Oryctolagus cuniculus: one gene and its partners. The protein of the gene in region 3 interacts with the protein of the main gene of each other region in a biochemical or structural test. Links are inferred from orthologs where the notes say so. Each region holds a gene or a part of one and is shown on either strand. Other genes may lie near its edges. The genes, in order: RARA, RXRA and TRIM24.

What was found.
Region 1: the proteins of TRIM24 (region 3) and RARA form a complex in vitro, tested with the Homo sapiens proteins (3 studies listed by BioGRID). The link is inferred for Oryctolagus cuniculus from reciprocal best matches to the Homo sapiens genes TRIM24 and RARA.
Region 2: the proteins of TRIM24 (region 3) and RXRA form a complex in vitro, tested with the Homo sapiens proteins (3 studies listed by BioGRID). The link is inferred for Oryctolagus cuniculus from reciprocal best matches to the Homo sapiens genes TRIM24 and RXRA.

Annotation. Positions count from the first base shown.
Region 1 is NC_091448.1:22,126,332-22,130,729, forward strand, and holds the start of RARA (retinoic acid receptor alpha), read right to left. Parts: upstream 2,940-4,398; 5' UTR 2,925-2,939; coding exon 2,708-2,924; intron 1,424-2,707; coding exon 1,275-1,423; intron 58-1,274; coding exon 1-57. UniProt on the Homo sapiens protein: Receptor for retinoic acid. Retinoic acid receptors bind as heterodimers to their target response elements in response to their ligands, all-trans or 9-cis retinoic acid, and regulate gene expression in various biological processes.
Region 2 is NC_091432.1:235,969,242-235,972,881, reverse strand, and holds part of RXRA (retinoic acid receptor RXR-alpha), read right to left. Parts: intron 3,140-3,640; exon of another isoform or gene 2,992-3,139; intron 2,903-2,991; coding exon 2,752-2,902; intron 1,572-2,751; coding exon 1,392-1,571; intron 1-1,391. UniProt on the Homo sapiens protein: Receptor for retinoic acid that acts as a transcription factor.
Region 3 is NC_091434.1:185,293,417-185,297,056, reverse strand, and holds part of TRIM24 (transcription intermediary factor 1-alpha), read left to right. Parts: intron 1-261; coding exon 262-334; intron 335-1,301; coding exon 1,302-1,470; intron 1,471-3,640. UniProt on the Homo sapiens protein: Transcriptional coactivator that interacts with numerous nuclear receptors and coactivators and modulates the transcription of target genes.

The DNA of each region.
Region 1 (4,398 bases), on a different chromosome or scaffold from region 3:
CTTGTCGCGGTGACACGTGTACACCATGTTCTTCTGGATGCTGCGGCGGAAGAAGCCCTGGGCACGGAGAGGGGAGAGTCAGGTCACCAACACCCACAGCGGGAGTGGCGCCCAGCCGGCAGTCGCAGCTGGGGAAAGTGGGCCAGGCCAGCGGCTGCTCCCAAGCCTTCGCCCATCACCCCCCTGAGCAGGCCAGAAAAGATGGGGCGATGAGTCACCCCTGGGAGAAGCCCGCTACTGCCTCAGCGCTACGAGGTGGGCAGGAGTCTTCCCCCAGCCTCCATCCACACACCTGACCCCTTCCCTCTAGGGAGAAGGACCTCGGGCTGCTGCTGAGTCAGGAATTGTAACCCGTGGGGCTGGCTGGGACAGAGGCGGGAATCTGGAGCCCACAGCCTGGACTCAGACACGTGAGCTGGCCAGAGACGGAGGCACTCATGCACTCACACACGCTCAGGAGCCAGGTGGCAAGACCCAGTCACCACCCGGACAGACGTGCATGAAGCACTCAGAGATGGACCCGGGCTGGTCAGAGGCCCCACACCCAGGCTCCCCAGGGACACAGATGAGGAACAAGTCAGAAACGACCTGACAGAGCAGGCAGACACACACAGTCTAGGTCCTGAGCTGTGCCCTGAACCTGTGTCCCACACCGACAGGTAGCTGATGGGCAGCCCAGAGCCCCAAGACTGTACAGCTTCCAAACCCTAATATCTAGAGAGAGAAACTGGTGTGGAGGCTCTGGTCCTAGGAAGAGGACCAGCCAGGCCCAGAGCTGCTGGGGCCTAACATGAGGACGGGAAAAATGCAGACGCTGGGGAGCCCACAGCCTCAGCACCTGTAGGGGAAGCCGAGGCAGGGTTCCGCTCCTAACTGCCGCCTGCCAGGCTGTCATGGCGAGGTGCAGGCAGGGCCGCCGGGGGCAGGCCTCCTGGGTCCCCAGCCAAGAGCCGGTCGGCAGCCAGCTCACCATGGCAACCTGGGCAGCGGTGGCAGAGCGGAGCACGCCCTGCCGGCTGGAGCATGGAGACGGGGGCGGGGGGAGCTCGGGCAGGAGGGGGCCTCTGGTTTGGGGGGAGCCCTGCTCATCTATGGGGGAGCTTCTGTTGCTGGCACCCCCTCCTCCTTCAAGGCTGCTGGCAACTTCCACACACAAGCAAGAGCAGCAGCATCAGGGACAGCCCCTGCCCTCAACCGAATTCTCCCAGGGCGTGACAGCGGGGACATCCCATTTATCTAAGCAAGACTGCCCTTCCCAGAGTCCCCAGTCTCACCTTGCAGCCCTCACAGGCGCTGACCCCATAGTGGTAGCCAGAGGATTTGTCTTGGCAGACAAAGCAGGGCTTGTAGATGCGGGGGAGGGGGGGTGGCGAGGGAGGGCTGGGCACTATCTCTTCCGAACTGCTGCTCTGGGTCTCAATGGCTGGAGAGAGAGAAAGGGAGGGGGCGGTTAGAGACCAGGCGCCATCCCTGATGCCCTGCCCCGCCCTGCTCAGGGTCTCCCTCCAGAGCCTCTCCCAGCCTCACTACTGCTGGCAGGGACGGTCTCGGGAAAGCTGGGACTCCCCAGTCAAGCTTGGGGGAAGCCTTGGGACCCCATCACGCCCGTCTACTTCCCCAGGACCCCGTCCTCAACACAGAAAGCTGAGATCATAAACCATCAGATGTGGGTGTGTGTTGTGTACTGGGCTCTGCCTGGGAGGAGGTGGTCCGGCCCTATTCTTAGGCCTTGCCTCGGGTGGCCTGGCCGGTACTCCCCCAAGTTAGGAAGGAGTTAAGGCTGGATGAGGAGGGAGGAGAGAAGACACAAGCTGGGGGCAGAGGAAATGGGGGTCAACAGGATATTCAAAGCCAGCCACTCCCTCACCCCCTCTGCTTCCGCTTGCCCCTCCCTCCACCCCCCTCTGCCAACAGCCAGGGCCCCTCCTCCACCCAAACAATCCCCAGGCCGAGGACCCAGGCAGACCCAGGCGGGTGTACAAAGAAGAATCCCGAAGGCTGGGGCACAGCAGGTGGGGGTCCCCTGAGATAGGTGGAGAGACCACCTGGGGACAGAGCCCTAGAAGCCCATCACCCTGGGTGCCCCCTGCCTCAGGGGAGGCAGCATGACAAAGGGGGGTCTGTTCCCATCAATGCTCTGTCTGTCTGGCTTCAACAGTATGTCCGGGTTACCACCCCTCCCCTCCTGTTAATTCAGCCCCCAGAGGGCAGCCAGGAGGGGTGACCTAGCCAGCAGGAGCTGTCCCCCACTGACCAAAGCCTCCCCAGTGCCTGGCTCTCTGCCATCGCCCCAGGCAGAACAGGGATGGGCTGGCAGGGGTGGGGGGTGCAGTGTGCTGGATGAGAACCGTACAGCTTCTCCTGCAGCCCTGGCCACCTCCACCTGTGCAAGGCCTAGGAAGGGTGAGGATGCGATCCTGACAGCCCAGCTCCACGCCCCAGCCCACAGCTCCTGGCTCAAACACCTCACGGCCGCGCGTCACCCCTTAGCCGCAGACACGCCCGAGACCCAGGCTAACAGCCTTGGCACCAGAGCCCACATCAGCCTGACAGCCCTGCCCTGCCCAGAGACCAGCCTGCAGCAAAGGGACAGTAGATGCTGTCCCCCACTGGTCCACAGATTCACTCCTCACTGACCTCTCCCAGAACCTCAGCTCCTCATCCCCACACCCAACCGCCCTGGTTTTCCCCCCCATCTCATTCTCACCAGGCCAGACAAGCAAATCAGACAGGCAGGGAGGCCTGAGGACAGCTGCTGGGGGGGGGGGGGTTGGGGTTGGGGGGCCTGGGTGAGGCCAGGAGGCAGAGGGGTGAGCCACAAAGAAGCCCTTTGTTGTGCTAACTTTTTCCAAGACGTAAAAACAGTAACAATAGACAATCCAGACTGGGGGGGGGGGTGTCAAGGACATGGGGGGGGCAGCCATGGCCTAGAATCCCCGCTCAGCATTCCAACAAGCAGAGGAAGAAGGCACTGGCCTCCCTTGTTAATCCACCCTTTGCCCTGGGCCCCGCCTCCTCCCAAGGCCCCACCCCAAAAATGAGCCAGACCAGCAGCAGCGGCAGGACCCAGGGGGCAGGGGGCAGGGAGCAGAGTGGAGGCCGGGAGGCGGGGCCCGGGGAGAGGCAGGGCTCTAAGGCCCGGGAAAGGCACACAGAAATTGGGAGCTAAGGCAAAGTCCAGAGGGTGTGTGCAGAACTGGAGGAAAGTGCTTTTTAAAATGATCTTTGGCAAGACGGGGGAGACAACCCACGCAGGGGCTACAGTTCGGACTCGGTGACACCTCCCACCTCCCTTCCGGCCACTGACCGCAGGCCCTTGAGGCTGCAACACCCCAGCCTGAGAATATCCCCACCTTTCTCCCAGGTAACCCAGCTCTGAGGTTTCTGGCTCTGCCCTTTGAATCCAGAGCTTGGGGCCAAGGCCTCCAGCCCGCAGCCTAGGAAGACCAGGTAAAACGACCCAAGGCAAAAGTGTGAGGGACCCCAGGCGCCCCTCAGTTTCTGCGCGAGTTAGGATACAGCAGGAACTCCTGCACTCGGGAGAGGCAGGGAGAGGCCGCCCGACCCGGCCTCTCCCCTAACCTCCCTACCCAGAGGCCCTGGCCCACAAATCCCTCTCCAGCTGCAGAAGGGCTCAGGCGGGAGAAGAACCACACCTTCTCAGCTCAAAGTTCCAGCGCCCAGCGGAGGGCTGGAAGCGGACCAGGAAGCCAGGCGTCCCCTCCCGCCGCCGCCAGGGCGCCCCTCCCCCGCACCTCCCTCCTGGCCGCCGGGCGAGCTGAGCGCTCCGGATTCCCCACGCCCCAGAGCCGTTCGTTCGCAGGCTCGCACAAGGGGCCGGTTTCCTGGAGGAGATCAGCAGGAAATCAGCCGGGCCCCCGGCCAGCGACTCCCCTTCCCAATCCAGCTGGCGCCCTCTCCTCTGCAGCTCCCTAAACAGCCCCCGGGGAGGGCTGGGGAGTGGGCTCTGGGCCCTCGGTGCTGCCCTTCCTCCTCCTGGGAAGCGGGTGGGGGTGGCTCCGGGTGTAGCCCGGCGGCGGAAGAAGGCCCCTAGCCCAGCGGCCGGCTGATAAGCATCTCCCCCTCCCCCCACTACGGGCATCCACGTGCTTCACATTCTTGGACGTCTGGGAGCGGGTGGAGGCGTGAGCGGCGCAGACGGGTGGGGGACAGATGGGGAGCCACGTCCTGTGCACCCCTTGTTCTCTAGTGCATGAGAAGGGGACTGCGGGGGGGGGGGCAAGGTCCAGGGCCCTGCAAGACCCAAAAGGTCTCCTGCCACAGCTAAGCCTCTCCTGCAACCCTTGGCAGAGGGGAAGGGGGAGGGGAGAATTCTCAGGGAGGGGCTGCAAGGCAGGTCCAGGCGCTGGGAGACCTCCACCCACACCAACGGGCTCC
Region 2 (3,640 bases), on a different chromosome or scaffold from region 3:
CATGTACACACAGGTGTGCATACACACACACAAACCCACAAAGCAACGTGATGTCTGTAGCTCCCTGGCCCCACTGGGGCCACAGCTCAACAGGGAGGCGTTGGCAGAGAGCCCACGGGGCCCCGTCCATCAGGGGCCAGGGGGAAGGAAGCAAGACACGTGTGTGAGACCACGGGAGCAGCCACAGAACAGACATACGCATGTGAGGCCACAGGAGCAGCCACAGAACACACACGTGTGAGACCACGGGAGCAGCCACAGAACTGACACACACGTGTGAGACCACGGGAGCAGCCACAGAACAGACACCCACACGTGTGAGACCACGGGAGCAGCCACAGAACTGACACACACGTGTGAGACCACGGGAACAGGCACTGCGGCAACCGCAGCCCACGCCTGGCTGGACGCCTGGGCTCTCAGTGACCTCAGGGGAGTGGCCTCCCTGCCACCCACTCCCCACACCAAGTTCCGCCAGCACAACGGCTTCAAAGCCCTGAGCGGGGCCTGAGGCGCCTCCTGCAGGCGGCGACCCCGGGCAGGGGCAGGAGGGGCCCCATGAGGAAGCAGAGTGCGGGACGATGCCCCCACCCTGCCGGCCAGCGGGCGTGGCGACAGCCCACAGGTCTCAGGCGGCGCCCCAACATCACCCTCCCTTCACCGGGCACAGCCGGTCACAGCCGGAGAGCGGGACGCAGCCCAGGGCTCGGGGCACCCACTCTTCTCCCCGGCTCCTGCCCGTGGCCCCACGTGCTCTCCGGAAGGCTCGCTCCAGGCTGCCCGACTCCCGGAGCCCACTCACTGCTCCGTCCCCCAGCACGGACGCCACCAGGGAAGGTGGGGGACAGCGGCCAGTCTGCCCCGTCTCCTCGCTAATCCCAGGGCCTGGCAGACAGCAAGTGCCCAGTGCTGCCCTGAGAGCTACCTGCCCCCTCAGAGAGCAGGGCCCCGCCCCCAGCACTACCCAGTCCCGCCTCTCCCAGGAAGCCCCGCCTCTCCCAGGAAGCCTCACCTCTCCCAGGAAGCCCCGCCTCTCCTGGGGAAGCTCTGCCTCTCCCAGGAAGCCCCGCCTCTCCCGGGGAAGCCCCGCCTCTCCCAGGAATCCCCACCTCTCCCAGGAAGCCCCGCCTCTCCCAGGGAAGCCCCGCCTCTCCCAGGGAAGCCCCGCCTCTCCCAGGAAGCCCCGCCTCTCCCAGGAAGCCCCGCCTCTCCCAGGGAAGCCCCGCCTCTCCCAGGAAGCCCCGCCTCTCCCAGGGAAGCCCCGCCTCTCCCGGGAAGCCCCGCCCACCATACAGCAGCAGCAGCGCTGGATGAGCTCGGGCCTGGGTGCTGTGCTGGGCGTGGCCGGTGGAGCAGGGCCCCGCCCCCACCCCGCCCCCACCCGGGCCTACCTTCCCGCTTCATGCCCATGGCCAGGCACTTCTGGTAGCGGCAGTACTGGCACCGGTTCCGCTGCCGCTTGTCGATCAGGCAGTCCTTGTTGTCGCGGCAGGTGTAGGTCAGGTCCTTGCGCACCGTGCGCTTGAAGAAGCCCTTGCAGCCCTCGCAGCTGTACACGCCGTAGTGCTTGCCTGCGGGGCGGGGCCGTGAGCCGGGGGCAGGGCCTGGGGCCTGGGGGGGCACAGGGAGGGGGCCTGGGGCACGGGGAGGGGGCACGGGGAGGGCTCGGACACGGGGAGGGGGCCTCAGGCACGGGGGGGGGCACAGGGAGGGCTTGGACACAGCCCTCGCAGCTGTACACGCTGTAGTGCTTGCCTGCGGGGCGGGGCCGGGGGCGGGGCCTGGGGCACGGAGGGGGGGCAGGGGGAGGGCTCGGACACGGGGAGGGGGCCTCAGGCACGGGGGGGGGGCACGGGGAGGGCTTGGACACAGCCCTCGCAGCTGTACACGCTGTAGTGCTTGCCTGCGGGGCGGGGCCATGAGCCAGGGGCGGGGCCTGGGGCACGGAGGGGGGGCAGGGGGAGGGGGCCTCGGGCACGGGGAGGGGGCCTCAGGCACGGGGGGGGGCACGGGGAGGGCTTGGACACAGCCCTCGCAGCTGTACACGCTGTAGTGCTTGCCTGCGGGGCGGGGCCATGAGCCAGGGGCGGGGCCTGGGGCACGGAGGGGGGGCAGGGGGAGGGGGCCTCGGGCACGGGGAGGGGGCCTCAGGCACGGGGGAAGGGACACGGGGAGGGCCTGGACACGGGGAGGAGGGGCTCAGACCTGGGGGAGGGGCTTCAGACACAGGGAGGGTCCTCAGATGGGGGCGGGCCCTTGGACCAGGGGGCAGGGCCTCAGACATGGGGGAGGGGCTCAGACACGGCCCGCAGCTCTACACACCAGGGTGCTTGCCTGCCGGCACAGGGCTGCTGAGGGACTGCCGGGGTGTGGGGTGGGGGCGGGGCTCGGACACGAGGGCCGAGGCCAGGGCCAGCAGCAGGCTGGTCACTCTGCAGGCGGGGGTGGGGGCAAGTGTGGCTGGACACCTGGACAATTTCAGTGGCCTCAGGGAGCGAGGGCCCCGTGCCCCCACGCGAGTTCTGTCCGTGGACAAAACGGACTCCAAGAGACCCTGGGCTCCTGAGCCTGCCTGGGCGTAAGCTGGGCCCCGCCTCGCCCTCCCCACTGGGGGGGGGGGCAGACCCGCTCCCGGCCACAGGGGAGCCGGCTGGGGAGGGGCATCTGGGCCGCCGTGGGCTACCCAGGGGGACCCTTCCCCAGGCCCCAGACGCCCCGACTCCGGGCGCGGGTCCCCCCGCCAGGCCCTACCTGAGGAGCGGTCCCCGCAGATGGCACAGATGTGCTTGGTGAAGGAAGCCATGTTCCCCGAGGGGTGCGTGGGGACTTTGAGGACGCCATTGAGGCCCAGGGGGGGCTTGATGTCCTCGCTGCTGCTCACGGGGTTCATGGGTGAGTTCAGCTGCGGAGGCGGGGAGGGGGGTGACCAGGTGACTCTCAGCCCAGACACATGGCCGACCCCACCCCTGTCGGCCCCTGCCCGGCGCCCACCTGACCACAGGCAGCCTCTCATCAAGGAGACCCCAGAGGCCTCCTGGAGGGAGGAGAGCTGGGCTCCCCCACTGCCCTGCGGGGCCAGCTGGGGCGGGGTCCCCGGTCACGTGACCCGGGAGAGGGCACAGACACCGCCTGCGTCTGGGGCAGGGCCACCTTGCGGCCTTGCACTCCTCCCTGGCCCGCCGGGCCACCCGCCCCGCCTGCCCGCCCCGCCGGGGCGAGCGTGGGAAACTCACCCGGTCACCCTGGCAACAGCTGCCGCGTCGCAATGACACAGCAGTTTTGGTTCCGCTGCCTCCGCCCAGCTCTGCAGTCAGCGCAAAGGGCCAGGAGACACTTCCCACTGCCTCGCGCCTGCCCGCCGCCGCCGGCACCGCTGGCGGGACCCCAGCCCGGCAGCAGCCCCCATCTCCGCTTCTGCAAACCCCCAATGACTCGGAAAGCTGCTGAGTCGCCCGCGGCTGGCTCCAGGCCGCCTCCGGCAGAGGGAAGCTCTCGCCTTCCCCTCCTCTCGCTGCCCAGCCCCACCCCGTCTCCAGGGACAGGAAGAGCCCCCTGCAGAAGCCAGCACGCACAAAGCGCCCAAAGCCTCCCTCCGCTCCGGCCTCAGCGCCCTCAGCGCCCACAGCGCCGGGCACGACTC
Region 3 (3,640 bases):
TGCCACCAGACATCCTATAATACATCGCCATTCTTCCACGACAAAGAATTCTCTGGCCCAAGTCAGTAGGCTGAGGTTGCGAAATCCTGCTCGTCCAGTAAGATCTAAAAGCCTGTGCTAGGAGTTCGGCAACTACTTGGTTCATGTAATATCATTATGTGTTCCTAGTTTGAAGGTAGTGCTAAGTGAGCACATTCAGTCGGATTTCAGTACGTGATGATTAACTCGTTTTATGAATGTGTATGATTTCCCCCTCCTCAGGACCTGTCACTATGACTAGTGTACATCCCCCAATTCGTTCACCTAGTGCCTCCAGCATTGGGAGCCGAGGAAGGTAAACGGACTTAACCATATTCTCTAGCACATGAAATTTCTAAGTAGTAGCTCCTGCCAGTGCTCAGCACAATCGGATACTCAGAATATTCTGAACAACTTCCTTTATTTTTCACTTTTAGTTGAAATTTTAATCATTCTATTTTAATTTAATAAATGAATTGAGCATAAATTTATCTTTAAAATATTTACCTATATGTTGAAAATAAAATGTTTGACATTAGCATCAGAGCAAGGGAGGAAAAAGGTGAAACAGGAATAAAAACACACTGCACTATATAGAGACACAAACAGGGAAACAAATGATAATCTTATAACAATTTCAATGTTCTCTAACTTTGCTACTTTAAAAAGAAATAAATTTACATTTTTTGCAAATGTAGTGTAGTCTTCCCCTCATTGTGCTTACAGTTAGTCCTAGATGGTGAATCCGATTCTTGCTTAGCTCATGTGGAGGAAGCATTCTCTGAGGGGAGAAACCTGTTGGCCTTTCTTCCGGGGAGGGTAGCAGCTGTCCGTAGAAGGTTTTTGCCCCACTGCCTTCTTGAAATAGCAGAACAGCAATAAACGGTTGTGTAGTTCATTGTCTTCACACTTCAACAACAAGTTGTTAGTGTGAGTTGTCATAGCTACTGACCAGCTGAGAAATGGGACAACCTAAGAAAGATGTTCGTTCTGAGATACTGTATCTGCTTGCCAATTTTAGAACTCAGTTATCTTTCAATGCAGGGTTTATGTCAACATCTTCCCACACGCAGTATGTGGTTGTCTAGAGAGGTTAGCATGTGAACCTTCTTATCAGAGGGGATGCTTTTGCATCACGGCAGTTGCATTTCAGTTACGCACCGCTTATTGCTGATGTAGCAGTTGGCATGATTGTGGTGGTTTTTCCAGAAGTTGATTGCATATATGGTTGTGACGTCTAACGTGGCATTCTTAGTTCTTTCCTTCTCTCGTTCTGCTTGCAGCTCTGGCTCCTCCAGCAAACCAGCAGGAGCAGATTCTACACATAAAGTGCCAGTGGTCATGTTGGAGCCGATCCGAATAAAACAGGAAAACAGTGGACCACCTGAGAATTACGATTTTCCTGTTGTTATAGTGAAACAAGAATCTGATGAGGAATCTAGGCCTCAAAATGTAATTATTTTAGTGCTTGGTATGCTATTTCTATTTGGGGAGTGGGGTATGAGAAATAGCTCTTAAGGTTTAAAAAAAAAAGCCCTATATATCTTTAAAGGTTTTAAGAAATTTTTAGGAAATCGCAGTAAACAAAAAGATAAGATGGAAGACAAGAAAAGAAATGTTTGAAAAATCAGAGGCTCAAATGAAGAGGCTAGGCTTTTGGGGTAAAATAAAAGAGAAATGAATAGTAGTTAAATTGCTGAAGAAATAATAAAAGATTATGTTCTGGTAACTGAAGGGCCCAAGAATCTGAATGGAAAGGACCCACCAAGAACCGGAACCATAAATGAAAAAGATTCAAGGCATATTATTACAAATTCCAGAACACCAGAGGAAAGGCAGATTCTAAATCGTTTCTAGGGAGAGAAGCCTCTTAAACAAAAGGGTTAAAAATCATATTGTTAACAGACACTAGAACCTGGAAGAGAATGAAGAAGTAGCTAAAGTATGACAAAGTATTTTTAAGACATATTTACTTATTTAAAAAGAGCAACAGAGAGAGGTGTGGTTTTTTTGTTTGTTTGTTTTTAAATAAATCCCTTGATTCACTCCCCAAATGGCCACAACAGCCAGGTCTGAGCCAGGCTGAAGCCAGGAGCCAGAAACTGTTCTGGCCTCCCACATCAGAGGCAAAGACCCAATTCCTTGCCCGTCTTCTGTGCCTTTCCAGGGATGCATTAGCAGGAAGCCGGGTCAGAAGTGCAGCTGTCTCTGGCATTGCAAGCAGCAGCTTAACCCACTGCTTTGCAACACGGGCCCTGGAAACAGAATTTTCTAAACAAAATGTTTTACTTAGAAAAAATTTATTATGCATGAAGACTAAATATTATGAGACGTCTACAAAAGTCTCAGACAGTTGTCCACATACACATTTTCCAGGTGTGTATACACATATAGGAAAGCAAAAGCTCTCTGGGATCTTACGCAGAGCCAGAAAAGGGCAGGTTCCAGTAGAGTGGTCTGCAGTGTGGACGACTGTGGGCTCCATAAGGTTGCATCTGTAGTGACAGAAATGTTTGCGCAGTATTGAAGTATTTTATAACCTTGTGGAGACTGTGAAAATGACATAGATAAAGGTGTCTGGAAAAATATGCAAGTAAAAAAATAAGGTGATTATTTTTTGTAAAAAACAAAAGTTGTACAGAAAGGGAAATGTAGTCAGTACATTTTTGATTTTGCGATGAACTGTATTTGTATCATCATGGTGTAAACAAACACCTGAATGTAGATGAGTTGAGACCTGTGACACAATCAAGATATAACCTGAATTTGCTTTAATCAAAATCTTTGAGAATCCTTGAACCAGTACATATAGTTACTGATCGTTTGGAATAAATGCTAGCTATAAACCATTATATGCATACCATCTAGAAATTCTGTGCTGAATAAAAACTGCTAGGAGGGCGGGATGCATGCTGGTGGTGCTAGTAGTTGTGAGGGTAGAGTCAGAATGCAGAAACTGACCCTACTCATCTTCCCTAGTAGGGATTTTGTAAAGCAAGTCTACGTACATACCAAATATACACACACAATACATATAGCAAGGCCATGCAACATACATGGCAATAGAAAACCCAAGAAATTATAGATTGTACAGGCATTTTATTTAGTCCTGTAACATAAGGAAAGGCTAGATGCAAAAACAGTTGTCCCCAAAGAATGAGTCGAGATGGTTCTGTTACTGGTTTGAAAGTTTGCCACCTGAGGCTTGTGCAGAATGTTTAGATTCCTACCAGAGGTTTCGTGTCTTAGGTAGAATCTGGGTGAACAGCCCTCGTCCCGTGTATCTACAGCTCACTGAAGTTCACTTGCACATCACCTCTTCACTCTGCTGCAGCCATCAGCAGATTCAGAGGTTTTCTTTTCCCCTCTATTGTGCACACCCCTTGCTGCTGCTGACCTATTTTGATATTTTTTATTAGTCTTCTGTAAAACCTATCTTGTTCTCTCACACATTCACAGACTCCCTTGAAGTAAGTAACCAGTTCATCAAGAGACAGGAATGTGCAGTCTGCAATCATGGAAATGCTAATTTAAAAAGCCAATTAGGCCGGCGCCGCGGCTCACTAGGCTAATCCTCCGCCTAGCGGCGCCGGCACACCGGGTTCTAGTCCCGGTTGGGGCG